7 linked regions of the Macaca fascicularis genome follow. The protein of the gene in region 7 interacts with the protein of the main gene of each other region in a pairwise test. Links are inferred from orthologs where the notes say so. Each region holds a gene or a part of one and is shown on either strand. Other genes may lie near its edges.

The links.
Region 1: the proteins of AGTRAP (region 7) and NKG7 interact in binary tests that used the Homo sapiens proteins (3 or more experiments, as listed by UniProt). The two-hybrid records come from large-scale screens. The link is inferred for Macaca fascicularis from reciprocal best matches to the Homo sapiens genes AGTRAP and NKG7.
Region 2: the proteins of AGTRAP (region 7) and TBRG4 interact in binary tests that used the Homo sapiens proteins (3 or more experiments, as listed by UniProt). The two-hybrid records come from large-scale screens. The link is inferred for Macaca fascicularis from reciprocal best matches to the Homo sapiens genes AGTRAP and TBRG4.
Region 3: the proteins of AGTRAP (region 7) and TXN2 interact in binary tests that used the Homo sapiens proteins (3 or more experiments, as listed by UniProt). The two-hybrid records come from large-scale screens. The link is inferred for Macaca fascicularis from reciprocal best matches to the Homo sapiens genes AGTRAP and TXN2.
Region 4: the proteins of AGTRAP (region 7) and PIMREG interact in binary tests that used the Homo sapiens proteins (3 or more experiments, as listed by UniProt). The two-hybrid records come from large-scale screens. The link is inferred for Macaca fascicularis from reciprocal best matches to the Homo sapiens genes AGTRAP and PIMREG.
Region 5: the proteins of AGTRAP (region 7) and ECPAS interact in binary tests that used the Homo sapiens proteins (3 or more experiments, as listed by UniProt). The two-hybrid records come from large-scale screens. The link is inferred for Macaca fascicularis from reciprocal best matches to the Homo sapiens genes AGTRAP and ECPAS.
Region 6: the proteins of AGTRAP (region 7) and MRM1 interact in binary tests that used the Homo sapiens proteins (3 or more experiments, as listed by UniProt). The two-hybrid records come from large-scale screens. The link is inferred for Macaca fascicularis from reciprocal best matches to the Homo sapiens genes AGTRAP and MRM1.

The regions. Positions count from the first base shown.
Region 1 is NC_088393.1:59,178,279-59,181,411, forward strand, and holds NKG7 (protein NKG7), read right to left. Parts: upstream 1,883-3,133; 5' UTR 1,697-1,882; coding exon 1,540-1,696; intron 1,469-1,539; coding exon 1,322-1,468; intron 1,236-1,321; coding exon 1,101-1,235; intron 999-1,100; coding exon 940-998; 3' UTR 501-939; downstream 1-500.
Region 2 is NC_088377.1:85,230,245-85,234,358, reverse strand, and holds the start of TBRG4 (FAST kinase domain-containing protein 4), read right to left. Parts: upstream 2,801-4,114; 5' UTR 2,780-2,800; intron 2,592-2,779; 5' UTR 2,515-2,591; intron 172-2,514; 5' UTR 122-171; coding exon 1-121. UniProt on the Homo sapiens protein: Plays a role in processing of mitochondrial RNA precursors and in stabilization of a subset of mature mitochondrial RNA species, such as MT-CO1, MT-CO2, MT-CYB, MT-CO3, MT-ND3, MT-ND5 and MT-ATP8/6. May play a role in cell cycle progression.
Region 3 is NC_088384.1:15,201,912-15,205,411, reverse strand, and holds part of TXN2 (thioredoxin, mitochondrial), read right to left. Parts: intron 257-3,500; coding exon 143-256; 3' UTR 134-142; exon of another isoform or gene 1-133.
Region 4 is NC_088390.1:6,485,932-6,490,178, reverse strand, and holds the start of PIMREG (protein PIMREG), read right to left. Parts: upstream 2,801-4,247; 5' UTR 2,767-2,800; exon of another isoform or gene 2,626-2,766; intron 2,192-2,625; 5' UTR 2,157-2,191; coding exon 1,863-2,156; intron 1-1,862. UniProt on the Homo sapiens protein: During mitosis, may play a role in the control of metaphase-to-anaphase transition.
Region 5 is NC_088389.1:46,626,813-46,631,091, reverse strand, and holds the start of ECPAS (proteasome adapter and scaffold protein ECM29), read right to left. Parts: upstream 2,801-4,279; coding exon 2,761-2,800; exon of another isoform or gene 2,070-2,760; intron 1-2,069. Other genes in the region: uncharacterized protein, read left to right, coding at 2,799-3,437. UniProt on the Homo sapiens protein: Adapter/scaffolding protein that binds to the 26S proteasome, motor proteins and other compartment specific proteins. May couple the proteasome to different compartments including endosome, endoplasmic reticulum and centrosome.
Region 6 is NC_088390.1:44,403,804-44,407,779, forward strand, and holds the start of MRM1 (rRNA methyltransferase 1, mitochondrial), read right to left. Parts: upstream 2,801-3,976; 5' UTR 2,620-2,800; coding exon 2,078-2,619; intron 1,878-2,077; coding exon 1,784-1,877; intron 422-1,783; coding exon 329-421; intron 1-328. UniProt on the Homo sapiens protein: S-adenosyl-L-methionine-dependent 2'-O-ribose methyltransferase that catalyzes the formation of 2'-O-methylguanosine at position 1145 (Gm1145) in the 16S mitochondrial large subunit ribosomal RNA (mtLSU rRNA), a universally conserved modification in the peptidyl transferase domain of the mtLSU rRNA.
Region 7 is NC_088375.1:223,073,610-223,077,550, forward strand, and holds the start of AGTRAP (type-1 angiotensin II receptor-associated protein), read right to left. Parts: upstream 2,801-3,941; 5' UTR 2,725-2,800; coding exon 2,698-2,724; intron 1-2,697. UniProt on the Homo sapiens protein: Appears to be a negative regulator of type-1 angiotensin II receptor-mediated signaling by regulating receptor internalization as well as mechanism of receptor desensitization such as phosphorylation.

The sequences.
Region 1 (3,133 bases), on a different chromosome or scaffold from region 7:
GGTACCCAGAGCTGATATTGTCCCTCCTCTGCCTCCAATTTTTTCCCAACTTCCCATCATGCTCAAGAGAAAATCCAGCATGACATTAGAGGCCATAACCCCCACCTGCCTCTCCCTTTTCATTTTCCATCTCCTGCCCCCAACATTCTATATCCTGGCCATACATTACCGTTCTTCATTCCCACAAGACTCCTGACTTTTCTGCACGTTCATCTTCAGGCCCCTCTGCCTGGATATTACCTTTCCTTGGCCCTTAAGAAGCCCCTAAACATTCTCTCTCCAGAAAAGTCATCTCCATCCCTCCACAATATGGTTAGTCTTTTTCTGGTGTTCTCCCTGCACTGGGACTGCTGTCTGGCCTGTATTAACTGCTTCTGGTCTGTAAGTGCCTCCTCCCCACCACCCCACAGACTGAGGCCCTGGCAGGCAGGTCCTGGGTCTGACCCGTGCTAGTGTCCCCAGCATGGGGAAATGTGCAAAAAGAACTGAGAGAGACTGCGTGCAAAGAAGGGCTGAGTTTTGGCAAGGGGTACAAAATCAGAGAGGGAAAGAGAAGGAAAGAGAGCCAGCTAAAGGGAGAAAGAAAAGTGCTGGAGAAGGGGAGAGATAGACCCAGGTTGGAGCCTGTATCCACACAGGCCAGGCAGTTGTGCTGGGCAGGAGCGCCCTGCAGGCTGGTCGGCCTCGTGGGCTGTCACCTTCTCTTGGTGCTCAGCTCCTACCATGGAGCTGGCAGACGGTTGGCTTAGGTCTTGGCAGAATTAATCTCAGAATAGCCAGATTCCAGCCAAATTTTGTTGAATGAATGAAGAAACAAGCGGAGGGGCTGGGGAAGGGCTGAAAGGGTGGGGCGGATGTAGGACCAGACTTTCCGGAGGCTCCAGATGAGGCCTTTGGAACACAACGCTCAAAACTCATCTTGCCGCTCTTGCCTTCTGCTCACAAGGTTTCATAGCCAGGCCGGGGGCTGCCGCAGTGAGCACCCAGGCTCAGGGCACCTGGGAGGCCAGAAAGAGTTTAAGCACTTGCCCCTGCCCTTCATCCTCAGGGCCCCCTATTGGCCCTCCCAAGCTCCCCAGGGCAGTGGACAGGATAGTCACCTGTGCAGAGCAAGAGGATAGCTGAGAGCCAGCCCAGGTAGAAGGACCAGGAGAAGGAGGCCTGGATCTGGGGGTGTGGAGGCTCGTCCCACCGCTCGCTGGTGTACACCGCCATGGCCACTGCCATGGAGAGGGCTGGGGGCAAGGACAAGAGAGATAGCTCAACCCTTCGGCAGGAATTCACTGACTCCCGATGCCCCAGTCCAGTCCAGAGTCCTTACCTGCAGCAAAGGCTGTGATGGTTGAGACAAGGGGGCCGTGGCCTGGGGTGGACAGTGAGGGGATGCAGGACAGGACCAGGAAGCTCACGCACACCAGGCCCCACAGGACAGCCAGAATGCTGAAGCTCTGCGTCACATGAATGTAGCCTGATCGAGAGAAGACCACTGAACACCCATCCCCACTGGCAACCCCTCCGCAGGACACCCATTCCCCTTACCTGCTATGATGTCCCCATGCCCCGTTGGCCAGAGGCCCGAGTGAGCTGAGTCGTTGGGACCCACAGCCTCAAACCAGAAATCGGTGCTCAAAGCAATCAGGCAGAACATCAGGCCCAGGAAGCCCACAAGCAGGGCCAGGGACCGGCAGGGCTCCATGGGGGTGAGCACGGGGCTTCTGGGTCCTGGAGGAGGAAGAGGCTGCTGATCAGACTGTTGAATCTCAGAGGGAAGGAGGCTGTGCACCCAGACTCCTGGGTCCTTGGAGCTCAACAAAGAGAGACCAGCAAGCAGTCGGGGCAGTGAGGGTTCGTGTGCTTTGTCAGATGAGGCTGGTTTGGTTTCACACAGTTCCCGGTAACTGGCTTTTCACATACCCTCCCTTCCTGGATTGCACAGGCAACGTCCTCCCTCCCCTCCCCGGGGTCCGGTTCCCCGCTTAGTGTGTGGTGGGGGAGGGCACTGAGGGTGTCAGATCATCAGTGGTTTGGGTGGTGGTTTAGAACTTGCCTCTGTCACAGGTTCTACAGCTCCCACCCCTGGAACCTTCAACACCAAGTTGGGGCTTCCTGGAAGAGGTGAGAGAGAGAGAGGCTTGGGGGCCCTGAGGTGGGAGGAAGCCAATCGGGCTGGGGTATGCGTTAAGTGGGAGGGGAGATGTGGCTGGAGGGGACAGTTGGCGATGTGTCATGCTTTCCTGTGGGTTCTGCAGTCTTCCATTTTGGAAGAGGAAGGCCCCAAGTCTAGGGTCTCTACTAAAGGAGGGGGCTTGGGAGTTAGAACTCCTGGGGCTTAAGGAGGAAGGAGCTGGGGTCCTGAACTCCAGGTCCCGAGGGAGGAAGGGGCGGGTGGGAGCTCAGAATCCTGGGCCGCAGTTTGGAGCATATGCCGAGGGCAGGTAAACAGCAGAGAATCACAATTCTGAAAGGTTTGCAGAGAGGCAGACATACCCACATCCTCATCTGATATAATGAGTTCAGTGGCATCTCTGCTTTGGTGGGGGCTCCAGCCTGGTGGCCTTTGTCACCAGGATCAGGAGGCCTAGGGGGTGTTGGGAGACATAAGGATTTCGGTCGAGGGTTCTCCAGCCCCTGAAACGTTAGCCTCTTCCATCCACACCAACATCAGGTCCTGGCAACACCTCACTCGTGAGCAGGTGTAAGGTGAAGGTACCACAGCCCACGTAGAAGACCCAGGAAAACTTGGCCTCTGTGAAACAGGGTGATATGGTTAGGCTTTGTGTCCCTACCCAAATCTCATCTTGAATTGTATCCCCATAATCCCCACATGTCTAGGTAGAGACCAGGTGGAGGTAATTGAATCATGGGGCGGGTTCCCCCCTGCTGTTCTTGTGATAGTGAGGTTTCACAAGATATGGTGGTTTTTTAAGGGGTTCTTCCTGCCTTCGCTTGGCACTTCTTCCTGCCACCCTGTGAAGACGGTACCTTGCTTTCCCTTCGCCTTCTGCCTTGATTGTAAGTTTCCTGAGGCCTCCCTAGCCATGTTGAACTGTGAATCAAATAAACCTCTTTCCTTTATAAATTACCAAGTCTCAGGCAGCTTTTGTTATTGCTGTTGCTGTTGTTGTTGTTTGAG
Region 2 (4,114 bases), on a different chromosome or scaffold from region 7:
AAGTCAGAGTCTTATGGGCTACCCTGGCAAGTCTCAGTCGGCCAACTGGAGCCATGACAGGGACCTGACGAGCAGCTTCTCTCAGGAGGCACGTGCATCGCTTTACCAGGTGAGCTGCCATAACGTCCTGGGTGGCAGAGAGACAAGACTCCTAGCAACTGATTCCAAACCCTGAAGAGAAAAAGGAGAGAGAAGGGGCTACTACAGGGGCAGTTCCTGACTCACAAATTTGACAAATGAAATAGAGTCAAAGCCACCCTATCTGTAAAATCAGACTGTCTTTCTTGACAATCCATAGGCATGTAATAGTATTTCTGAAGCAAAAATCTCACAGGATTTTTGTTTCAGTACAGAATGCCATGAAATATCAAAACTCAGGAGCATTACAGCCTGGGTGGGAAGGTTTTCATCCTGCTTGTAATTTGAAATCACCTAGGATGTGGTTCAACAATTCAGATTCCCAGGTCCTGCCCAAGGTCTCCTAAATGATGGCATCTCTGCAGACAGGACCCAGACAGCATTTTTTTTTTTTTTTTTAAATTTCAAGGGTAACTAGGATTAAGAATTACGGACTTGGGCCGGGCGCGGTGGCTCAAGCCTGTAATCCCAGCACTTTGGGAGATCGAGACCATCCTGGTGAACACGGTGAAACCGTGTCTCTACTAAAAAATACAAAAAACTAGCCGGGCGAGGTGGCGGGCGCCTGTAGTCCCAGCTACTTGGGAGGCTGAGGCAGGAGAATGGCTTAAACCCGGGAGGCGGAGCTTGTAGTGAGCTGAGGTCTGGCCACTGCACTCCAGCCTGGGCGACAGAGCAAGACTCCGTCTCAAAAAAGAATTATGGACTTGGCCAGGCATGGTGGCTCACGCCTGTAATCCCAGCACTTTGGGAGGCCTAGGCGGGTGGATCACTTGAGGTCAGGAGTTTGAGACCAGCCTGGCCAACATGGTGAAACTCCACCTCTACTAAAAATACAAAAATTAGCTGGGCATCATGGTGCATGCCTGTAATCCCAGTTACCTGGGAGGCTAAGGCACAAGAATTGCTTGAACCTCAGAGATGGAGGTTGCAGTAAGCCGAAATCACACCACTGCACTACAGCCTGGGTGACAAGAGTGAGACTCCATCTCAAAAAAAAAAAAAAAAAGGAAGAATTCACATTCCCAAAGCCTCTGTGGATATATTTTAACACTGCAGACATAGGTGTGAGCCTCTCGAAACCAAGGTAGATTACATCACTAGCCTACTAAACTCCCCCCTACCAAATTTCTAACAGCAAAAACTCTGAACCAATAAGAAGCAGCACTTCATAACATGGCCCAGAATGATTTTTTCAGTCTTAGCCCTTTTTCTGCCTCCCAACAACACAAGGCCCCATTTTAAACAGGCCTTGCACTTCCACCCCACCTTACAGGACTTGTTACCCGGGTCTCCTCCTCCCCCGATCAGGCCCTTTAAAACACATCTCATCCTTCCAAGGCCAAACTCAATGTTGCCATCTCCAGCAATGTGCTTTTAACAATTCTATCGGCCGGGGGCGGTGGCTCACGCCTGTTATCACTAATCACAGCACTTTGGGAGGCCGAGGCGGGCAGATCATGAGGTCAGGAGATCAAGGCCATCCTGGCTAACACCGTGAAAACCCGTCTCTACTACAAATGCAAAAAAATTAGCCGGGCATGCTGGCGGGCACCTGTACTCCCAGCTACTCGAGAGGCTGAGGCAGGAGAATGGCGTGAACCCAGAAAGCAGAGCTTACAGTAAGCCCAGATCGCGCCACTGCACTGCAGACTGGGCGACAGAGCGAGACTCAGTCTCAAAAAAAAAAAAAAAAATCTATTAGCTATTCTAGCTCCCTACAGCGATTAAATGACCCAGGGAACACACATGACAAGGGCAAGCTAAAACGTTCACCCGGGCCTCATTTCTGCCAAAGCAGAATGTACGTTTGAACTTTCTCCACTTCCTGGAACTTGGTATATGGCCAGCACATTTATTTTTACATGAGGGGATTACTGCAGCTGTAAAAAGCTTGGTCTAACTCCACTTAAAGAAAAAAAAAAAAAAAAAAAGAGAGCGATCTCAGTCGGAGTATTTGCCCAAACGCAACATCTACCACTTTCTGAGCCTAAGTACAGTGGAGAAATCTTTCCGACTTATTTTATTTTTTTCGAGACGCAGTCTCGCTCTGTCGCCCAGGCTGGAGTGCAATGGCGCGACCTCGGCTCACTACAACCTCCCCCTCCCGGATTCAAGCGATTCTCCTGCCTCAGCCTCCCAAGTAGCTGGGATTACAGGCCTGCGCCACCACACCTGGCTAATTTTTGTATTTTCAGTAGAGACGGGGTTTCACCATGACCTCAAGTGATCCACCGCGCCCAGCCTCCTTTCCGATTTTTTAAAAGCCCTAAGAGCAGTTTAGCGGAGTAAACGGAAGCCCAGGAACCGGACTTGGGTTTAGGCAAACAAAAATCCAAAACTTTAGTTCTAAAATGCAGAGAGAAAACAACTTGCACTAAGTCACGAAAACTGGCTCGCTGGGGTCATGGACGGTCAACAGGGGCGGCGTCTTCCAGGCCCGGCCGCGCGAGCTAGATGAGAGAGGAAGCGTGCGCACTGGCAAGCCAGCACGGAACGAGCGGACGGCCAGGCACACCGCATCCCACCGCGTCCCAACCTGCTCCCCAGTTTCACCGCATCCCAGGACCCCTGACACCTTCCCAGCCACGCCTCGAAACCCACGCCCAGCCGCCCCTTCTCCCCGTGCCACAAGACCTACGCCGTCACAACCACCGCTGACCTCCATCCGCCGCCCTAACTGTCCCCGGAACCATGAGGTGCGCGGCGCGCTTCCTACGTCACTCGGAGCGCCGGCGGAAACGAGGCGAGCCTCGCGCCGCCCGTCCGGAAGCCACGTCTCCAGCTTCCGGCCACACCTTTTCGGCGGGTACCGTCTTTGCTGAGGGCTCAAGTGGAGCGTTAGGTGATAGGAAGAAAGGCTTCGGTTGCCCCGCGACCAGTACCTAATCCTCATACGGAGTGCGGGAGACGACCCTTTGTTGTCCATGCTGTCCCGCGATCCTTCCCAGCTTGCGTAGGCGTAGGAGAGCTCCTAGGGCGGTGAAAGACTGGGCTGGTGGAGTGGGATAGGCAATGCTGAGGCATGTGGGGTGTGGGAGGGCGAGTGAGTGGAGACTGGGGAACTCCAGAGCGCCCACTTGCAGCTGCACTTGAAGCTGTTCTTGAGTAAATGCAGGCAGTTTATCTAGACCTAGCAATTTTTTTTTTTTACGTCTAAAATTCTGGATTTTTATGTGCAATTTTCCTGATTTTTAAATAGTGGTGTTTAATTACAAAATAAAGTGCGGGATAGCGCAAACAAAATGTATCCGAGGTCTGTATATGGACTTGATTAATTTTACTTCCTGCACAGCCTTTTATTTTCTGTGGAGTTAATAATTACTTTGGCTGGGCACGGTGGCTCACGCCTGTAATCCCAGGCCTCCATGGGTGGATCACTTGAGGTCAGGAGACCAGCCTGGCCAGCATGGCGAAACCCTGTCTCTACTAAAAATAAAAAAAAATTAGCCGGGAGTGGTGGCGCACGCCTGTAGTCCCAGCTACTAGGGAGGCTGAGGCATGAGAATCGCTTGAATCCAGGAGGTGGAGGTTGCAGTGAGCAGAGATCTTGCCATTGCCCTCCGGCCTGGTTGACAGAGCAAGACCCTGTCTCCAAAAACAAAACAAAAAATATAAAATAAAAATAAATAATTACTTTGGTTTGTGTTCGTAAACTAAAAATAAAATTGTAAGCCCCCCAGCCACTGAACGGACCTCCTCTTGGCCAAGGAGACCCCAGAGAAACCTTAAAAACTGAGTTCCCAGCCATTCTGGAAAGGGAGGTTGAACACCCCTTGTTATAGCCCCTTTTGGCATTTAGACAACTGACCAACATTAATGTTAAAGTAGAGATCATAAGACTAACAGACTGTGGTAGTAAGGTACCAAATTATAAATAAGACCTATGGCCATGCAAGGCAAGGGTTAAGTCAAGTTTGCAGACCATCAATCTTGCTGAAGAGGTCTTTTTTGACCCAGTATATTGTGGCTGATT
Region 3 (3,500 bases), on a different chromosome or scaffold from region 7:
AGCACTCAGGGCTGGAGCCCGGGCTCTAAGCACAGGCCCCAGAGGCCAGACAGGAGGGAGGCAGCAGGAAGGGCTGGCGTGGAAGGGCTGAGTTCTACTGGGGTCCCATGCGGGCAAGGGAACCAGGACTCGCCCCTGCTTGTCAGCCAATCAGCTTCTTCAGGAAGGCCTCCAACTGATCCTCATCCTTGATGCCTACAAACTTGTCCACCACGTCCCCATTCTTCATGGCCAGTACAGTGGGCACCGCCGACACCTGGGTGGGGAGGACAAGGGGGTCCAAGTGAATTGGCAGTGAACGCTTCTCAACTGCCACTCCCAAGCCTTTGTGGGGAAGGCTGGTGGCTTATCCAGGGCACTGATTTCCCAAAGCCATGGGCAGGCCTAGAGGAACGTGGCTCTTCCCTTAGTGCAGGGGTACTGCAGGGCCCGGTGGCCACCCGTTGAAGAAACTTCTTCCATTGCGGGCTCCCAGCAGTACCCTTCCTCCCTTAACCACAAGACTGACTCACTGGCCCAGTGGTTTTGCTGGAATGACAGGAGAGATGAAAATAGCCCATGCAGCTGCAGGCCAGGGCTGGGGGCAGGGAGGAGCTCGGGGGAAGCCTGGCCCGGGGGGAGACAGAAGCTGGGGGACAGTTCGAGTCCTGGCTTTGCACTCACTTGCAAGGGGGCCTTGGCCAGGTCACAGCACCTTTCTGAGCCTCAGTGTCCTTTTCCATAAAATGGGGGTAATGTCTACCTTTAGGGTTTGGGATGAACATTAAAGATTCAACAAGTATAGGCTGGGCACAGTGGCTTACATCTATAATCCCAGCCCTCTGGGAGACTGAGGCTGGAGGATTGCTTGAGTTCAACAGTTCCAGACTAGCTTGGGCAATATAGTGAGACCTTGTGTTTACTAAACTCCCCCCCCAAAATTAGCCAGGCATGGTGGTGCATGCCTGTCCTCACGTACTTGGGAGGCTGAGGCAGGAGGATCGCTTGAGCCTGGGAGACTGAGGCTGCAGTGAACTGTGATGCTGCCACTGCACTCCAGCCTGGGTGACAGAGTGAGACCCTGCCTCAAAAAAAAAAAAAAAAAGAAGAAGAAAGATCTGAGCATAAAGCAGAGCTCAGGGTGGGCGCGGTGCCTCACACCTATAATCTCAGCATTTTGGGAGGCTGAGGCGGGAAGATCATTTGAGGTCAGGAGTTCGAGACCAGCCTGGCCAACACGGTGAAATCCCGTATCTACTAAAAATACAAAAATTAGTGGTGGCGGGCGCCTGTAATCCCACCTACTTGGGAGGCTGAAGTGAATCGCTTGAACCTGGGAGGTGGAGGCTGGAGTCAGTGGAGATTGCACTACTGCACTCCAGCCTGGGTGACAGAGTGAGACTCCGTCTCATAAATAAATAAATAAATAAATAAAGCAGAGCTCAGGTTCTGGCTGACCCAATCCGACTCCTACCAGCCAGGTGAGCTGGGGCATGACCCTCAGCAACTAAGCTTCAGTGTTCTCAGATGCAAGATGGAGATACTAATGGCACTTCCATTAGAGGGCATGAAAGCTGAATGAAATAATGTGAGTAAAGGCTCAGCACAGCAACCCGGCAAATAAGCGTAAGAACCTGGCATTGTGCCTGGCATACAGTGGGCATTCAAAAAACGGTGGCTGCAGAGGGCACAAGGAAAAGTCCAACACAGGCCACACGAGAGCATGTTAGCTTGCTGCCGTGATGAGTGACAGGGTCCAGAGACTCAGGGCCTTCTACTGGATAGCGTGGGAGGAGAGGCTTGGCCATACACGACCTCACGCTTATTGGCGGGTTGCAGGCAGATGGCAACGGCAACATTCTTGGTCTGTGAAGCATTTACTCAGTTCCCTCAGGGACCTGCATAGGTTACATGGAATGCAGATGAGGCTGTGGCCCACCAGACTGGCATCGTGAGGTCTCTGCTGCCTGGGATCCCTGCCTGGCATTCGTGGGCATTTGAGAAAACCATTTAAACAGAACAAGATAGGCCGGGCGCTGTGGCTCACACCTGTAATCCTAGTACTTTGGGAAGCCGAAGCGGGCAGATCACTTGAGGTCAGGAGTTCGAGACCAGCCTGACCAACATGGTGAAACTCCATCTCTACTAAAATACAAAAATTAGCCAGGCCTGGTGGCGCATGCCTATAGTCCCAGCTACTCGGGAGGCTGAGGCAGGAGAATCGCTTGAACCCGGGAGGCGGAGGTTGCACTGAGCTGAGATTGTGCCATTGCACTCCAGGCCTGGGCGACAGAGCAAGACTCTGTCCCTGCCCCCAAAACAAAATAAATAAATAAAAATAAACAGAACAAGATAAACACAGACTTTTCTTACACACAAGTTCACTACAAAGTAAGAGCAGAGATTCACACAAACGTACCAGGTCTTCACATATCCCAGTGCTGCCCTGCCGCAGACCATCTTGGAAGTCAGTAAGATTTAGAATGTTCAAAACCCGTGCACATGGTAGTTAGGAAAGGCATGCAGGCCAGACCATCCCACCCTCACCCACTAACTACGTGGCACGCCCCGCACCCCACTCCTCATGGGCACTTTGGGGACAAACACAGCAGGTCAGAGGACACAGTCCTTGTCCTTCTTAGTGCCTCAGGCCCCTTCAAATCTGTCCCTAGGCTGATGTGGGTGGCAAACCCTGTCTCCAGGCAGAGCAGGGCCCGAAAAAGTTTGCTCCAGGAGGCTCCAGGGAGCGCCTGAAGCCACTAGGGCCTTCCCAGGCATTCTTTGGTGCCCTCTAGTGGTCTGCAAAGGCAGCTGGAGCGCCTCAAAGCCAGAGCCTCTTGGCAGAAGCACAGAGCTCAGCGGCCGGCTCCCACCTGCACACGGTCCTATTCCTTTAATTAAAATAAACGCTTTATGCCACTGTATAAGAAATGGCCTAACCTTTTTCATGGCAGGACTCTAAGTTCACTGAAGAGGCTCAGAGAGTGGACTTAGTGTTCCTTAAGAACTCCAGATAGGGACAAGCACAGTGGCTCACACCTGTAATCCCAAACACTTTGGGAGGCCAAGGCAGGAGGACAGCTTGAGGTCAGGAATTCATGGCAAGACCTCATCTCCATAAAAAAATTAAAAAAAAAAAAAAGGGAACTCCAGATGAAGGCCATAATGATCTCACTCATGTAAACCTCCACACATGCTTCAACACGCACAGACCCTGCTGGTGTCAGGTAGACAGCAGATGTGCTGTGAATGGAGGTCTGGTCATTACTGATCAAGGGGATTTTTTTGAAGTTGAGCTGAAACACACACACATAAACCCCCCACTAGAGCTCACAGGAAACCTGAGCTGGAATGGGACTTCCCTCGACCCCAAGGAGGCGGCTGAGGCCCTGCTGCTCCTGTGTTTGGCTCACACATCAGGCGGGGCCAGTGCCTGTAAACACTGCCTTCCGTGGAAGCGCACAGGGCCTTGGTACATTCTTCTGGAATGTTCTGAGTGTGAAAAAGGCAGTGACTGAGCC
Region 4 (4,247 bases), on a different chromosome or scaffold from region 7:
GCCTGTAGTTCCAGCTACTTGGGTGACTGAGGCATGAGAATCACTTGAACCCGGGAGGTGGAGGTTGCAGTGAGCCGAGATCGTGCCACTGAACTCCAGCCTGGACGACTGAGTGAGACCCTGTCTCGCAAACAAACAAGCAACAACAAAAAACCCAAGGGTAAACTACCCTGGTCTCCAGACCCTACCAGCGATCCCTAGACCCACCAAGTGTCCTGTAAATACAGGCTGTTTTAGTATCCAGGGTGAAGGATGTGACTGACTCCTCGTAGAATGAGTCCATGGCAGGGACCCAGCTCAGAGCTCCTGGATATGACAGCAGCAGTCAGCAGCAGGAGGATCCCCCTGGTGCCTGGAGCCTGTTTGTCTAAGTCCAAACTCTCTTTCCAGACACAGATTGACCCCAAGACTGAAGGAGAGGGCCCAGAGTAGAGCAGGCTCCCCCGCCCAGCACCCCCTGCACACCAGGAGAGCGCCTGTCTTCCTGCCTCGGGTCTCACTCACTCTATCCACCCTCTACAGTGGTCCATAGTGATCCTTCTAAAGGGCAGTTCTGACTGTGACACTCAACTGCTCGAAACCCTTCTATGGCTTCTTGTTGCACATAGGACCAAGCCCCAACTCCTGGGCCTTTCACACCAGCTGGGTGACGGCTGTGAAGGCTCTTCTTCATCAGCTCGACTGTCTTTGCCTTGGCAAGCCAGAGCCCAGGGGTTGGAGCCCAGCCCAGGTTAAATCTGATGAGTTACGTGACCTTGGACAAATTCATTTCATTTCTCTGATCCCTGAGGGTGGCGAAAACAATCAAAAAGTTCTTCCAAATAAAGACTAACATTTGGCTCAGAGAACTCTCTGCAGAGGGTCCAGAAAGAGCCACCCTCTTTCTGGAGAATTCTCTCGTCTTCAGAATTCCCAATGAGACACCGAGGAGAAACCTCTGCAGCCCCCAGTCCTCTCTCTGGAGGTCTGTTCATCCTAATGGCTTCTGTCCTTTCTAAGTGACACGTCTACACCTCCAGCTCTGGGTTTAAAGATGCATCGGTTGAAGGGCCCATAGACGCTTACATCCAATATAAGGACATCTTCCTGCCAGCACCTCTCATTTGACAGCAAATCCCCTCTAACTGACCTTCTCAGCAGCTCCTGAAGTTTATCCTCTGCAAGTCCAGATCCTTAGTCTCCTTCAGGAGCACCTCTGCTTCTATTCCGTTCTCCATCACGTAGATAAAGGACAAATTCTAATATGCTAATGAGACCAGACTTTCCACTGTTTAGAATCCTCCAGACTCCTGATCATTCCTGGGAGAGTCTAAGCTCCTTCATGTCCTTTCTCCCGGCTCTACCTTGCTCTCTGTCCTCTGCTCATACCCAGACTACAATTCTGGCTCTCCTCAGGGGTACACGGCTGAGTTGGCAGTACACCTTGCTTTCCCTCAGCTCTAGGCTTGGACCTGAGGGGCTCTGGACTTGCACTATTTCTCCTACCCTAAATACCCCTTGACCTTTGCTTCCCTGGGTGAACTCTGGAATCATCTCCTCTGGGAAGCCTTCACCGGCTAAGTTTGTGTTTGGCGAGCCCTCGCTATTGGCCACTTGCTTGCAATTTCCTATCACGTACAGCTCTTATCACCTGGTATTGTGAGCATCTGTTTCCTCCAAGACATGTTTTCACTAACTCATTCAACTATTTGTTGAGCGCCTATATGTGCCAGGAACTATTTGGGGTGCGGGGGAAACAGCAGTGAACTAACCAAAATCCCTGTCTTCTTGGAGTCTATATTCTTGAGGCTCTTTGAGGGCAGGAACTGTCTGGCACCAAGGAAACACTCCATTAAAAAGATGATTAGTATTGTCAGTATTACCTGGGACATGGCACCCAAAGCGCTCTTAGCTGAGCGAGCTGCAGCCTGGAGGCCCTGCTGACCTGGCTCTGGGGTTTCCAGGCGTTTCCAGGAGGGGCCTGTGCAGAGGTTGAGGTTGACGGCTCTCAGGGGCAGCCTCCTTTGGAACTGCCTGCACAGAGACCCCAGGGCCCCTGCAGAGGTCTCCTGATGGCTGGCCACAGGCTGCAGCTCCTTGCTGTCCTCCAGCTGCTCCTGGTGCCGGAGAGATCTCCGGCGCACAGAGGTCCCCATGCTCTGCCACCGAGAAGCCATTTGTCTGGCCAAGAGTCTTCTCTGTCCACTAGACCCTGGGGAGGAGGGCAAAAAAGCAGGTCAGCAAGGCATTCCCCATCCCCATTTCCAGGCCCCACAGAGACCCTGGACACAGGGGAAGAGATGGGATGCAGCGGGGTGGCGAGGGCGAGCGGGGAGCGGGCGAGTTGGCAAGTGTGGGTGCGGGAAGGAGGATGCTTCCTGGAAGAGAGGTCTCGGGTCAGCAGCATTTCTGCTGTCCCGCACTTCAAGTTTCCAAAACAGCTGTCTTTTCATCCCAACCTCCTTCCTCTCTCTGGCTCAGGCGAGGAGGGGAGGCGGGGTCAAGACACGCCGTAGCCGAGCTTCAGCGCTGGGCCCAGGACACGATCACCATCTCCTTCACCAGCTCGCCCAGACCAAACGCGCCCCCACGCAGATCCCGGCCTTCCCACCAGACGCCCCGATTTTGATCCGACGCTTGTAGTACCCAGACGCCTCCACAGGCCGTGCGTGTCCGAACCCGATGCCCTCCCCTCTGAACAAAAAAAATTGTTTTGAGCCGAGATCGCGCCATTGCACCCAGCCTGGGGAACAAGAACGAAATTTGTTGTGCCCCGCCCGCACTCACCCGACAGCACCAACGCGGATCACACGCCCAGCACAGCTGCTCCTCGCCCACCACAGCCGGTTTGAAACTCTGCGCGGCTCCGCCCCAGGCCCCGTCCTCACAGCTGATTGGTTCTGTCCCCGCCCCCGTCCCCGCCCCAGGGATCCGATTGGCTTTCTCTGTCGCGGCTGTAAATGCTGCGCTCGGATTGGCCCGGCCGTCCCCATTCATCTCTCCGGCCCCCTCCAGGCCGCCAGCCTCGTGGCTCCGGGCTTTGTATTATGCGTCCCGCCCGGGCCACCGCCCTTGCCCGCCCAGCCCCCGCGCATCGCACGCCGGGTCCCCTCCCTGGAGCGCGCACAGGGTTGAGGCTGCTCTGATCCCTGGGGTGGAGGCGGAGGTCCTGGGATCTAGGCCTCCTGGCTCAGGCCTCAGACCCCGCAGTGGGCAGGGACCCTGTCCATCCTGCCAAGGGGTCTGGCTTTTCTTTCTTGCTCAGTGGTTTTGTCCGAAGGAGCCAGGGCCTGGCAGTGCGGAGCCCTGGGTTCCCAGAGACGTTTCCTTTCAAATTTCCCTCCTGACCCTCCCTTCCTGTGACAAGACACTGTCCCTCTCTGAGTTCCCCATACTCGCCATCCATGCTCCGCGCCCCCCTCCCAGAAGATGCGTCCTGGAAGCGGGGATAGACCAGAGTACCCGTCTGCCCTCCTCCCGCCTACACCAGCTCCCCGTCCCCGCCTTGCCCCACGCATCCCTCCCTCTCTCAGCGGAATGCCTGCCTCTCCTCTCCTTAGCATCCAAACACAATCAGCCATTATAGAAGTTCATCCTTCTCCTTTCGGTGACCTCAGAGCTGTGCTGCCCAGTCCCCCGGCTGGTTTCTTTGTTACCTCTCCGGCACAAGAACCTGAGATGCTGACTTCTTGAAAGACTGTCTTCAGCCCTCTTCGTTTCTGGGCGGTCTCACCCACTCCTTTGGCCTCAGTGATTTCCAACGAAAGGATGATGATAATGATTAACGTGTATATGGCCCTTAGTATGCACAGGTACTGGTGTTGCAGTTTATTAACTGATTTGACCCTCTGCTATGGTTTGAATGTGTCCCTCAAATTTCACATGTTGGAAATGTAATGCCCAAATTCGTATATTGGTGGCATTTGTTTGTTTTTGAGACAGAATTTCGCTCTTGTTGCCCAGGTTGGAGTGCAGCCTGGCGATCTCGGCTCACTGCAACCTCCGCCTCCCGGGTTCAAGCGATTCTCCTACCTCAGACTCCCGAGTAGCTGGGATTACAGGCGCCCGCCACCACGCCCAGCTAATTTTTTGTATTTTTAGTAGAGATGGGGTTTCACTATGTTGGCCAAACTGGTCTCGAACTCCTGACCTTAGGCAATCCACCAGCCTCAGCCTTCCAAAGTGCTGGGATTACAGGCAAGAGCCACCACGCCTGGCTATCGGTGGCATTTTTTTTTTAGACATATAAATTGTTATTTATTCAAATT
Region 5 (4,279 bases), on a different chromosome or scaffold from region 7:
GCTCCGCCTCCCGGGTTTACGCCATACTCCTGCCTCAGCCTCCCGAGTAGCTGGGACTACAGGCGCCCGCCACCGCGCCCGGCTAGTTTTTTGTATTTTTAGTAGAGACGGGGTTTCACCGTGTTAGCCAGGATGGTCTCGATCTCCTGACCTCGTGATCCGCCCGCCTCGGCCTCCCAAAGTGCTGGGATTACAGGCTTGAGCCACCGCGCCCGGCCAATATGAAACTTCTTAACCAGTGCACACGTATATGCTTTCAAGTTAAATTATTCTAAGGTATCAACTGCCACGTATTCAGTCTCTCCTGAAGAAATACAGAAACCAAGTCCACAGGTATCTGTGGCTGATGACTGACAACTTAACTGAACAAAACAAGAAGGCAAGGATTGGAATGATCTGTTCCTAACTTTCTTAGCTACTAGAGCCAGGAAATCCCTTAACTAACAGCATCTTAACCAGTACCTGAATGTACAGAAGCACACTGCACAGACACAAACACTTCAGCCACTTCAGAATATCCAATTCTTCCTCTAGTTTTGTTCCCCATTCCTGCTAGCAATTCAGACTTTAATGTGTTTGGTGCTACAACAGGAACTCAGATGTCATACAGCACAGCAACTGAAAAAAAATCAGACCACCTCACACCCATCAGGATGGTTACTACTGACAATAAGGGTAAGCGTTGGCCACGATGTAGAGAAATTAGAACCCTGTGTATTGTTGGTGGGAATGTAAAATGGTACAACAACCACTGTCAAAAACAGTACAGTGGTTCCTTAAAAATTTTTAACTAGAATTATCACATGATCCAGCAATTACATTTCTGGGTATGTACCCAAAAGAACTGAAAGCAAGGTCTCAAAGAGATATCTGTACACCCATGTTCACAACAGCATTATTCCCAATAGCTAAAACGTGGAAGGAACCGAAGTGTCCACATACAAATAGATGGACAAGGAAATGCGGTATATACATACAAGGGAATATCATTCAACCTTTAAAAGGAAGAATTCTGACACACGCAACAACATGGATGAACCTTGAGGACATTATGCTAAATGAAAATAAAACCAGTCACAAATTCTGTATGATTCCATTTACACGAGGTACGAAGAATACTCAAAATCACAGAGACACAAAGTACAATGATGGTCGCCAGGGGCTGAAGGGAGGAGGGAATGGAGATTTGTTGTTTAACGGGTATCAAGTTTCAGTTTTGCAAGATGAAGAGTTCTGGAGATGGATGGTGGTGATGATTGCACAACAGTGTGAATGCACTCAATCCCACTGAACTATACACTTAAAAATGGCTAGGACGGGAAATTTTATGGTATGTGTATTTTTATCACAATTAAAACAAAACATGGAACTGATCTCAGAAGGCCTGGTGGTGCTTCCACGTGGAACCGACAAAAGAGCAATCTATTTAGCCGGCTTCTATCTCTAATCGCACCATGAGACCTTGTCTCCTCCGACTCTCCAATCTGCTGAGGATCACACCAAGTGTTTACTTCAGCTTCAAAAAGAGCAAACAGTACTCCTGCTCCACCAGTTCTGTGTCAAAGCAGCAAGGAACTTAATCTCTCCAAACCTGCCTCCTCTTTAAAACAAGGATAATTCCTACCTATCTGCCTCACAAGGTTGCTATGAGGGCAAAAGTGAGATCATGTATATAAAAGTGGCTTTAAACTGACAAGCACTAGAGAAACCATACATTACGTGTATAACTACTTTCATATGGAAATTCAGAAGCGGCTTTAACAACGTAAGCTTCATAAAGCTTGCAACACCTCACCCATGCTTTATTCCTTTATTCCATTTAAAACCCACATCATCTCCAAATAACACCTTTCTTGTTTTTGCCATAAACTGAAGGACAGCACTGGGGCGGGGGGGCGGGGGGGAAGGAAAGAAAACCCTTGGGTGGAAAAAAAAAAAAAAAAACTCAAAAGGCAATCAGAAATTATCTCACATGTCCTATGTCCTATGAAAATTCGGTATTTATGATCCCAGCGTGGGCCCGCGGCGCCCCGGAACTACACTTCCCACAAAGCATCGAGGCGAACCCCGGCGGCGGGCGGGGCGGCCTGGGATTCAGGGTGACCACCGCTCTCCCCAGACAGGGACCGCCGTCCCCGGGAAGGCTGCACCGCGTACGCTCGAGGGGGCACTAACTCTCCTTTCTGAAAGCGCTGTCACCCCGTGGTTTCTCCTGCGGTTCGACCGGCGACCCTCTCCGCCCTCCCTGCTCCACCTGAGGGTCACCGCCTATTCGTGACCTTTCGGCTGATTACTAGAGTGTCACAAAAAGGCACCTTCTCCCCTTTCCCGAAAGCTCCATTTCTAGAACTCGCCCAACCGTCGGGGACCCGGGGCTAGGAGGGGTCAGATGGGACGGGTGGACACTGCCCGTCACCCCGGGGCTCCGGCCCTCCCGCCAGCCGAGGCTCGGTGGGCAGGGGGCCGGGCTCCCCCCACCCCGGGCCAGGGCGGATCGCGGGCAGAGGTGGCTCCGCCCGGGGCTCCAGTTTCAATTTCGCAACGTGACGGTGCAAACCTGAGGCCTACAAACGCCAGCGGCGACGGTCCGCGCCCCGCCCGCCAGCCAGGCCAGGGCGCCCCAGCTCCCCGCACGCCGCGGCCGCCGCCCGCCCACCGGGCCTGGCGCCCCAGCCCTCCAGCCCAGATGCGGCCGCCGCCCCCCGGCACCGCGCGGCGCCCGTTCCGGCTCGCGGCCCCAGGTTCGGCCGCGGCACTTACTCAGCTCATCCTGGGAGGCGGAGGCGGCGGCCGCAGCCATGTTGCGCCGGGGAGGGAACGAAGGAGGGGCTGGGGGGGCAGGGCGCGGCCGGGGGGCTCGCGGCTCGCGGTGCGGCAGGGGCCGCGAGCCGCCTCCGGTCACTCGGCGCGGACCGCGCTGTGCCTCGAGGCCCGCCCGCCCGCCGCCGCCGCCGCCGCCGCCGCCGCCTGCGTCCTCCGCGTCGCGAGCGTCGCTCTTCGCTGCCCCCGCGAGCTCGCGACTCGGGCGCTCCCGCAGCCTCGCGCCTCTGCGGAGCCGCCGCCGCCGCCGTCTGTGCGGCCGAATCCCCGTGCGCCAGGCCCGCGCGGCGGCTCTGCGACTCCGCGCCGCACTCGCCCAACTCACGCCGGTTTTATATTTAGAAAGAGCTGAGCCATCCTCCCAGCGGCCCCCCCGCCGGGCCCCTCGCGCGCCCGCCCGCCCGCCCTCGCTCGCTCGCGGCTCGTCCTGCCCACCTGTCGCCGCCCGCCCCGCGTGCGCTCCCCGCGCGGACTCGGCACGCGGCGGCCTGTGCGGGCGGCCCGGCCTAACTGCCCCAGCGCGCGCGCAGAGCCAGCCCACCGCGGCCCCGGCGCGGGCCTCTGACCTGAGTCGGAGCCGGTCTCCATGCCGCGGACGCTACACTCGGCGCCGCGAGGTGAGGGCTGTGGAGTGAGGCGTTCGGCGGGCCGGGCCCCGGGGAGCCGCGCGCCGCAGTCCGTGAGGGGCTGGGCCGAGCGGGCCCAGGCTGCCCTAGCGGCCGGGGGAAATCCTCGAGGCGGGGCCGGAGCGCCCTTTTCCGAGGTCTGCGGCTGTCACGTTGGCTGGGCCCGACCTGGGGAAACACGCCTGTCCAAAGGAAGAGACGTGGACTCAGAAAAGTAGAGCCGGGCTCGGAGTCGGCGGGAGGAAGCCCCGCCCTGAGCCTCCCGCCGAACTTCTCGGCCTCGGCGCTGACTCAGTCCCGGACGAGTCCCTGCGCCGCAGCGGCCCCTGACAGCCCGGTCCTGATGTGGAGGTTACTGGTGCTCCCAAAACGGCTAGCGGGAGTAGGGGATCCACTCAGCCCTGCAAAAGTTAGATGAGCCAAGATTCCTAAAGTTCACATGGAAGTATCTATGCCTATGCGAGCTTTGACATTTTGTTCAGGTACTCTACGTTCTTTTCGGTCACGAGAGTGATTTATTTTCGATATGCTCATTTTAACTTTCTGCCTTCGCTCTGTCCGTGAGGTCATGTACACTTGCAAAATGAAATTCAAATTCAGGGGTTGCATAATTGCTGTACTTTAAGTGATAGTACTGTCATAACAAATTAGATACAAGATCAGATACTTTTTTAATATAAGAAGAAGAAATCAAGTCTTAAATGGATTGAAATTGCATTTATTCCTTAAAGCAGAAATCTATAAAGCCGTAAGTAATGTCTTGAAAATGGAATATGTGTCATTCCTGTGGTAACAGGCCAAGTACAAGGTACAACACTGAAGACATTTTTATT
Region 6 (3,976 bases), on a different chromosome or scaffold from region 7:
AAGAACCACTAAAAATGCCTCAGGACATGGTGAAGCAGAAGGAAAGCAGGTGCAGAGTGTTTCAAGGAGGAAGGAGTGGTCAGCTGTGCCAGCTGCTGCAGATGGGCCAAGTCAGAAAAGAATTAAGAACAGACCCTGGAATGCAGCAACATGGAGGTCACCCATGACCTTGACGAGGCCTTTGATTCAGTGTGAGAGGAGGGGCTGACTGGTGTGAGATCAAGAGCGTGAGAAGGGAATGTTTGTTTGCATGCTGAAGAGAGTGTAAGAGAAAAGTGGATGATGCAGGAGAGAGGAGGAAAACTGCTAGAGCAGTGTCTCTGAGTACCCAGGAAGGGATGGGGCCCCAGCACAAGCCCCTGCTTGGGGCACCTCCAGCTCTTCCACAGCAGCAGGCGGACGACACTCTCCAGGCCAGACGCTGAAGACACAGTAGGGAGATGTGACGACGGGAGCTTAAGTGGATGTTCTGCAGTGTTTCTGTGTTTTCAGACGCTACCTGTTCAGGGGCTGGAAGTGATGAGTGGGAACCTCATCTCCTATCTGGCTTGGAGAAAGGGGCTCCCTACAAAAAGGTGACGCCAAAAAATTGCTTCTAGATATGTGTTGTTCAATATAGTAGCCACTAGCTACATGTGACTATAAAGCAATTGAAAGGTGGTTAATTCAAATTGAGGTGTGTTGTATGTAAAACATTTTTTAAAGGAATGTAAAATATTTCGTTAATAATATTTTTAAAAGGTCAGGTGCGGTGCCTCACACCTGTAATCCCAGCACTTTGGGAAGCCGAGGTGAGTGGATCGCTTGAGGTCACGAGTTCAAGGCCAGCCCGACCAACAGGGTGAAACCCCATCTAAACACACACAAAAAAATTAGCCCGGCATGGTGGCCTGTGCCTGTAATCCCAGCTACTTGGAAGGCTGAAGCAGGAGAATCGCTTGAACCCAGGAGGCAGAGGTTGCAGTGAGCCAAGATTGTGCCATTGCACTCCAGCCTGGGCAACAAGAGCGAAACTCTCTCAAAAAATTAATAATATTAACAATAATTAAAATGATTACATGTTAAATTGATATTATTTTGGATATACTGGGTACAATTTATTTAAAATGTCATCTCTTTACTTTTCAATGTGGCTACTAGAAAAGCTAAAACTACCTATGTTTCTCGCACTACATTTTAACCGGACAGCATTGCTCTCTAGACACGCCCCAGAGCTCTCCCACTTCTTGAGAGGGAAATTTCTCACCCTGCAGATGGGGTGGGGGTTGGGGGCAGTGGGTATGGTCAGAGGGGATTCCAAATGCGGAGCAATACTGCCCCCTTGTGTCCAGCGAGGGAAGCACAGCTGAAGACGGATGGGAGAGGGGTGCTTCCAAGGTTTGTCCCTTGCTAGGTATTAATGGCATACTGATCTCCTTGTTCAAACATCCTTTCAAGCTGTGCCCTATTCGAGGAACTCAAGCATCCTGTCCACCAACAAAATGCATTTACTGAAGCCCGACCTAGTAGGCAAGGAGACACTGAGGCTGACTTACAGAAGAGGCAAAGTGGTGCATATCTGGGAAGAGGTGCAGGAAAGGGTATGACGATAGGAAGAATTCAGATAATGCTCCAATTGCCGTTTTAAATACTCCAGGACCCTCCCATCCCCAGAGGGATTTGGAAGGCCGAAGGAAGCGATGCCAACAGGCCCCTTTCTCTCCCTCGCCAGGAGCTAGCTTCGTCCCCTTGAAGAGGCTGAACTGGGCTCATATCTGTTCCTTACCCTCTTGCCCCTCATTACCTGTAAAAATCCAGTGAGGTCATCGGTGGAGAACACGTCCATCACCTCCATAGCCCCCGCGCTGGCCTTGCTGACTACTGGAGTGAGCGGGCAGCTGCAAGGTTTCCCCATTCACCGCATTAGGCTGGGCCATCTCAAGCCCGGCTCCCTACCCTCCCCGGGCTCCCAAGGGCTAGAGGCGTGAGAGTTCTGGGACAGGTGAGTCTGGCTAAGGGATCACCCAAGGGCCAAGGTGCTTAGGAACTTGGCTGCATCTCCAAGTTGGGGCACATGGAGAATGAGGGACGTCCGTGCCTGTTTCTCCGGCTGGTGATGACCTTATCCACTCCGAGGAAGTGTGCGGAACGCAGCACAGCCCCAAAATTCCGGGGATCCTGGATCCCTTCGAGGACGAGCCACAACTGCTGGGGGTCGTCGCCTGGGCTCGCCTCCCCGGCCTCACTCCAAGGCCGGGGCCGCAGCGGGCTCACCTCCATGCAGACACCCTGGTGGACCTGGTAGCGGCACATTGTGTCCAGTTTCTGCCGTCTGGGCCGTAGAACTGGAATGTCCCGCGCCTCGGCCATCCGGAGCAGCTCGGCCCGCTCCCCCTGCAGCCCAGCTTTACCCGCCTGGAGCAGGAGCCGGGCCACGGAGCGGCGGGCGGCCCGCAGAGCCAGGAGACACGGGGACAGGCCAAACAGAAGCTCCAGCCGCGAGGTCGGCACCAGGTCATCCAGCAGCAAGCGGCTTAGCTCCTCCCCACCAGGCCGCTCCCCACGCCGCGCTGCATGGGAGAAATGACGGGTGACGAGGCGACCCCAGGTCGCGCCCCGGATGGTCGAGAGCAGTGTCATGGCGCAGCTCCCGCCAGGGACTCGATGCCCCCTGCTGCGTCCCCGGGAACGGTAACCCACGCCGCAGTTCGCTCCCAGGCTCCCAACACAGGGGTGAAGGGTACTCGACAACTGCCTCCGCCGAGCTCTCTCGGACAGGAAGAAACAGGCCGCATTCCCCACAACTGGACTAGAGAGCTACGACCGTCCCCTCCCAAGCTCCCACGTGGGTTCCCTCGCTTCCGGGTTCGGGAGCCCACCCCCAGTCCCTGGCGCCTCTTCCTGACGGTGTTTTGCGCATGCGCGGTCGCCAGGCTGTCCCCACAGCACCTCCTACAGGGCTAGAGGAGCAGCGAGCTGAGCTGGCCGTACTACCGGCTGCGTCCTGTGTTCCTCGAGGTCAAGGAGGTCGGGGACTGCATTCACTCACGCACCAGCGAAGGGCACTTTAAGGAGATGGGTTGGCCTTCCTGGTCAACCAATTCAGTCTTGTTGCCTCCCTCCCCACATCCCGGCGCTGGTGATTTTCCCCAGAACTACTACTCACTAGCTCATCACCAGCCAGCAGGAGGACCCCAGCAGTCACTTCCTATCCCGGGCCGCTGATTCTCTTCCTAAGTGACTCTGAGCCTGTCCTGTCCCTGCTGATAAGCCCACTAACGCCCCCGTCCCACAGGGAATGGCGAGACTTTTGCGCAGCACTCAGCCCCCCAGCGATCCAGGAAGGCAGGAAGGAGCTGCCTCTTCAGCCCCATCTTGCTCCTGCACTTAAGTTCTGTGCTGTTCGCACAGCACTGCATGCTCTTCCAGGCCTCTCAGCCTTGCACACCTGTCTTCTTCGCTTTGTCAAACTCCTACACGTTTTCAAGACCCAAACAAACCCATTCCTGCTACCTAAGGTAATCCATACTCCCATGAGTGAGGCCCCCAATCCACCCACCAGGTAGGTCCCAGGTGGGACCGACCTGGAAGAAATTCTGAGACACAAGCACCCCTGATCACAGAGAAGGGGAAAGAATGGAAAGACACACTCCTGAAGCCAAGGCAGATTGGTTGCAATTTTTCTTTTTTAATGATCACCATGAAATCCTCTGGACCAGGCCCTGGTATTCTGCTGCCATAGTCAGAGTGGAGGGATGACCCCACGAGGGGAAGAGCAGCCAAGATTGGGCTGGAGAGCCCAGAAGGAGAAAGAGAAGGGGAAGAGGGAGCAGTGGGGCAGGCAGAGGAGGAAGTCTGGAGCCCTGGATAACCACGCAGATATAAGGTGAAGGCCTCCCTCTGCCACCCTAGCCCTGAGCCGCAGAGGTTGAGGTGCAAGAAGATGGGGGGAATTTTGGCCACAACTCCTTTCCCATATCAAAGGGAAGAGACTGAG
Region 7 (3,941 bases):
TGCCATTCTCCCGCCTCAGCCGCCCGAGTAGCTGGGACTACAGGTGCCCACCACCATGCCCGGCTCATTTTGTTTTTGTATTTTCAGTAGAGACGGGGTTTCACCATGTTAGCCAGGATGGTCTTGATCTCCTGACCTCGTGATCCACCCACCTTGGCCCCCCAAAGTGCTGGGATTACAGGAGTGAGCCACCGCACCTGGCCCACAATGTCATTCTTGCATGGACAGGGCTTAGTCACCACACCTGGCCCACAATGTCATTCTTACATGGACAAGGCTCAGTCAGGGGCTGCCCTTTGTGCAAAGGGCCTGGGGCAGCTGTTTCTTCTCACCTGGCACCACCGCCCACTCTGGTTGAGCTGGGCAGAAGCGGGCACTCAGCCCTTGCCCAAGGAATATACAAAATGAGGGAGCGCAGGCCGCAGGGAGCAGTTCCCCACCTCCTGAAGGGCTCTGATCTCAGAACATCCCCTAAGTGCCTGCAAGCAAGGAGTCAACGGCTGCTCTCCACAGGATGGCCAGATTCAGCAAACAAAAATACAGAACACCCAGTTAATTCCCAATATGAGATCATGAATAATTTGTTAATATATTCCACATACTGCCTGAGACTTACTCATACTAAAAAACTGTTCGTTGTTGACCTGAAATTCAAATTCACCTGGATCTCCTGTACCTGACCTGGCAACCCTGACCCCTCAGGGCCACCCAGCACTTAGTTGTCTCTGACTGGTAGCGGCTGACACCCTTGGAGATGGGGGATCTTGTTTGCCAAGTCAAGGGGAGGACCAGCCTTTTCATCCTGGCTGAGCTGCCCAGCATAGCTCATACTTGTGGATGCGCTTAGCCTGTCGGGCCTAAAAAGTTGCTCAAAAAAGCCCCTAAGAGACTAAGCCCTCCCAAAAGACAGAAACAGCCAAGGTTAAAGTCAGCCCTAACTAAGCTGGTACCCCAGAAAGGACCTGGCCCTGGAGTCTGAGCCCTATGGGTTCAAATCCTGATACTGCCACTTACTGCCTGTGGGACCTTGGCAACTTACCCAGTCTAAGCTGAAGTTTGCTCATCTGTAAAAAGATGACCACATCAGCTTTCTCATAAGGCTGCCTTGATTATATAACCTGGCACACCACAGAAGCCCATAAATGAGAGCTCTATCCCTCCCACCGCCCTCACCTGATCCTCTCTCAGCAATTATTTTAAGCAAATCCCTCATCAGAGAAAAGGCAGTTGGTGTTAACCCCATGTTGCCTGGAATAGAGTGGGTACTGATACCAACAAACTTCGGTTGCTGTCACGTAAATTTCTTCCCAGCTGAATGTTCCACCCAAGCCCATTTCCCTGCTCCAGCCATGTCTCCCCACCACCGTGGACTGGAAGCTTCAGGAAGGTTTGCTGAAGCAAGTATGATTAAGAAGGGAAACGGGCCCATGGCAAGTCAGCACAGATGTTGTGTAATAAAGTGTATTAAGCCATTGTTTTGTAACCATCTATCTCTCAGGTTCCTTTACTGCCAGACACCAACAGGGAGCTAAATGCTTCGTCACTTATGAGTAAGAGGACATTCCTAGATATTGCCTCAAAGGAGGATGCACTAAGACCCAAAATGGCCGGTTTGGTCCAAGGTCCACACCTTCCTGACCAAAGCTAAAGCTCCTAGCCCCTCTCATGCAAACGGAGCCCAGACACGTGGGCGACGGTGCTGGGTGGGGAGAAAAAGAAGAACAGCCGCTGGCACCCAGACCCGGACTGAGCTCACGGCTTGGCTCGGGAAATGAAGACACCACAGGAAGCCCTGCAACGTTTTCCCCAGTGCACAAAGTTGGGGTTTTCTGCTTTTAAGTAATTTCTGTGGGAGTTTGTGCTTCTTCATTATGAAATAAGGGCGCTGGACGTGTAAATTTTATAAAACCAATTGCTGGCCGGGCGCGGTGGCTCAAGCCTGTAATCCCAGCACTTTGGGAGGCCGAGACGGGCGGATCACAAGGTCAAGAGATCGAGACCATCCTGGCTAACACGGTGAAACCCCGTCTCTACTAAAAAATACAAAAACCTAGCCGGGCGAGGTGGCGGGCGCCTGTAGTCCCAGCTACTCAGGAGGCTGAGGCAGGAGAATGGCGTGAACCCGGGAGGCGGAGCTTGCAGTGAGCTGAGATCCGGCCACTGCACTCCAGGCTGGGCGACAAAGCAAGACTCTGTCTCAACAAAATAAAATAAAATAAAATAAAACCAATTGCTTGGGAACATCAGATTTCCTGAACCCGACTTAGCAAATAAGGAGGTCCTGGGACGGTGCTGGGATCCGGGGGCAGGCCCAGTCCCTGACCCCGCGCGGGGGAGGTGAGCCGCCTCCAAGCCCCTCCCGCGCGCCTTCCTCCTCCTCCAGGGGAATTCTGGGCATGCGGGCAACAGCAATCCTGGGACCAGCGCTGCCTGCTGGAGGGTCTGAGTCCGGGAAGGGGCGGCCCTTGCCCTCCTCTGCCACCTCCAACGGCCCCTCTGCGTCGCCCTGCTGGCCTGTGCCTGACTCACTCTCCCTGCTGTGGCCTGCCTGCCCACCTCCTTCTCGCGTGAGGTCTGTACCTTCCCTTCCTCCCATCCCTCTTTCCCCCAAACTCCCGATCCTCCCACCTTCCTGGAAAATGCAAATGTCCCACCTCCTCCCGCAAAGGGGACCCCCCATCCCCAGCCCGTTGCCACCTTCAGGTTCACAGCAGGCAGCTCCATCTCGACCCAGGCCGAGGGCACCTGCGCGGCAGCCGCGGGGGCTCCTGGGCTCCGAACTCGGGGAACAAACTTGCCCGGCCCCGCCCCGCCCTTTGCGGCGACTCCAACCCCAGCGCCGCTCCGGACCACGTGAAGCGGGCTGGAGCGGGTCACGTGACCGCCGCTCGGTTGCTAGGAGACGGCGTCGGCAGGCGCGCCTTCCGCCAAGCTCCAGGCTCCCGCCACCGCCCAGGCAGTACCTGGGGGCCTCTGGCAAAAGTCGGAGTTTCTGTCGCCCAGGGCGTATCTTGCCTGGCTAATACTCCAGGAAGCGGGCTGTGGGGACTGCCTGCAGCCAGGACAACTGGGGTACCGTCCAGGCGCAAAGTGCTGATGTGGCAACAGCTTGTGTCTCGTCCTTGGGGGCACCCTCTCTCCTTCCCACTTCCCTGTGTAAATGGGCTATTTAGGATACCTACCTCATATGATCCTTGTGAGAGTAAATGAGCTAACCGCTGTTGCTAAAGAAAACGTTATTGGGACAGTTAAACCAGTACTGTTCAAGACTTGCTGTAGGGTTATTGCCATGGAGTGAGAGTTTGGGCTCAACACTGAATACAACAAGGACCCAGGAGGGATTTATAGCTAAAGTGCAGAGTGAGGGAACCAGGGATGGAAGATTCCTGGGAGGAGACATCAAGGAAGGGGGAGTTCTTGCTAACTTAGCAGGACTCTTGCTGAAACTGGTTTATGCAGGCTCAGGCCCAGCAAGGACAGGAAGACACAGAGGTCCAAAGTCAAGGCCTAGTCAAGCTGAGGACTCAGAGGAGCCTAACTACCGTTTGGTCTAGGAGAGAACAGTGCCTGGCACTTAGTAAATGGGCAGGACACACAAGCTATTGTTATTATCAACATAAGAGGAGGCTGGGCGCAGTGGCTTACCCCTGTTATCCCAGTACTTTGGGAGGCCAAGGTGGGTGGATCACTTGAACTCAGGAGTTCGAGACCAGCCTGGCCAACATGGTGAAACCCCATCTCTACTAAAAATACCAAAATTAACAGGGTATGGTGGTGCATACCTGTAGTCCCAGCTACTCAGGAGGCTGGGGCACGAGAATCGCTTGAACCGCGGAGGCTGCATGACACTGCACTCCAGCCTGAGCGACAGGGTGAGACCTTGTCTGGGAAAAACAAACAAACAAACAAACAAAAAACAACACCTGAGGAGCCAAATTAGT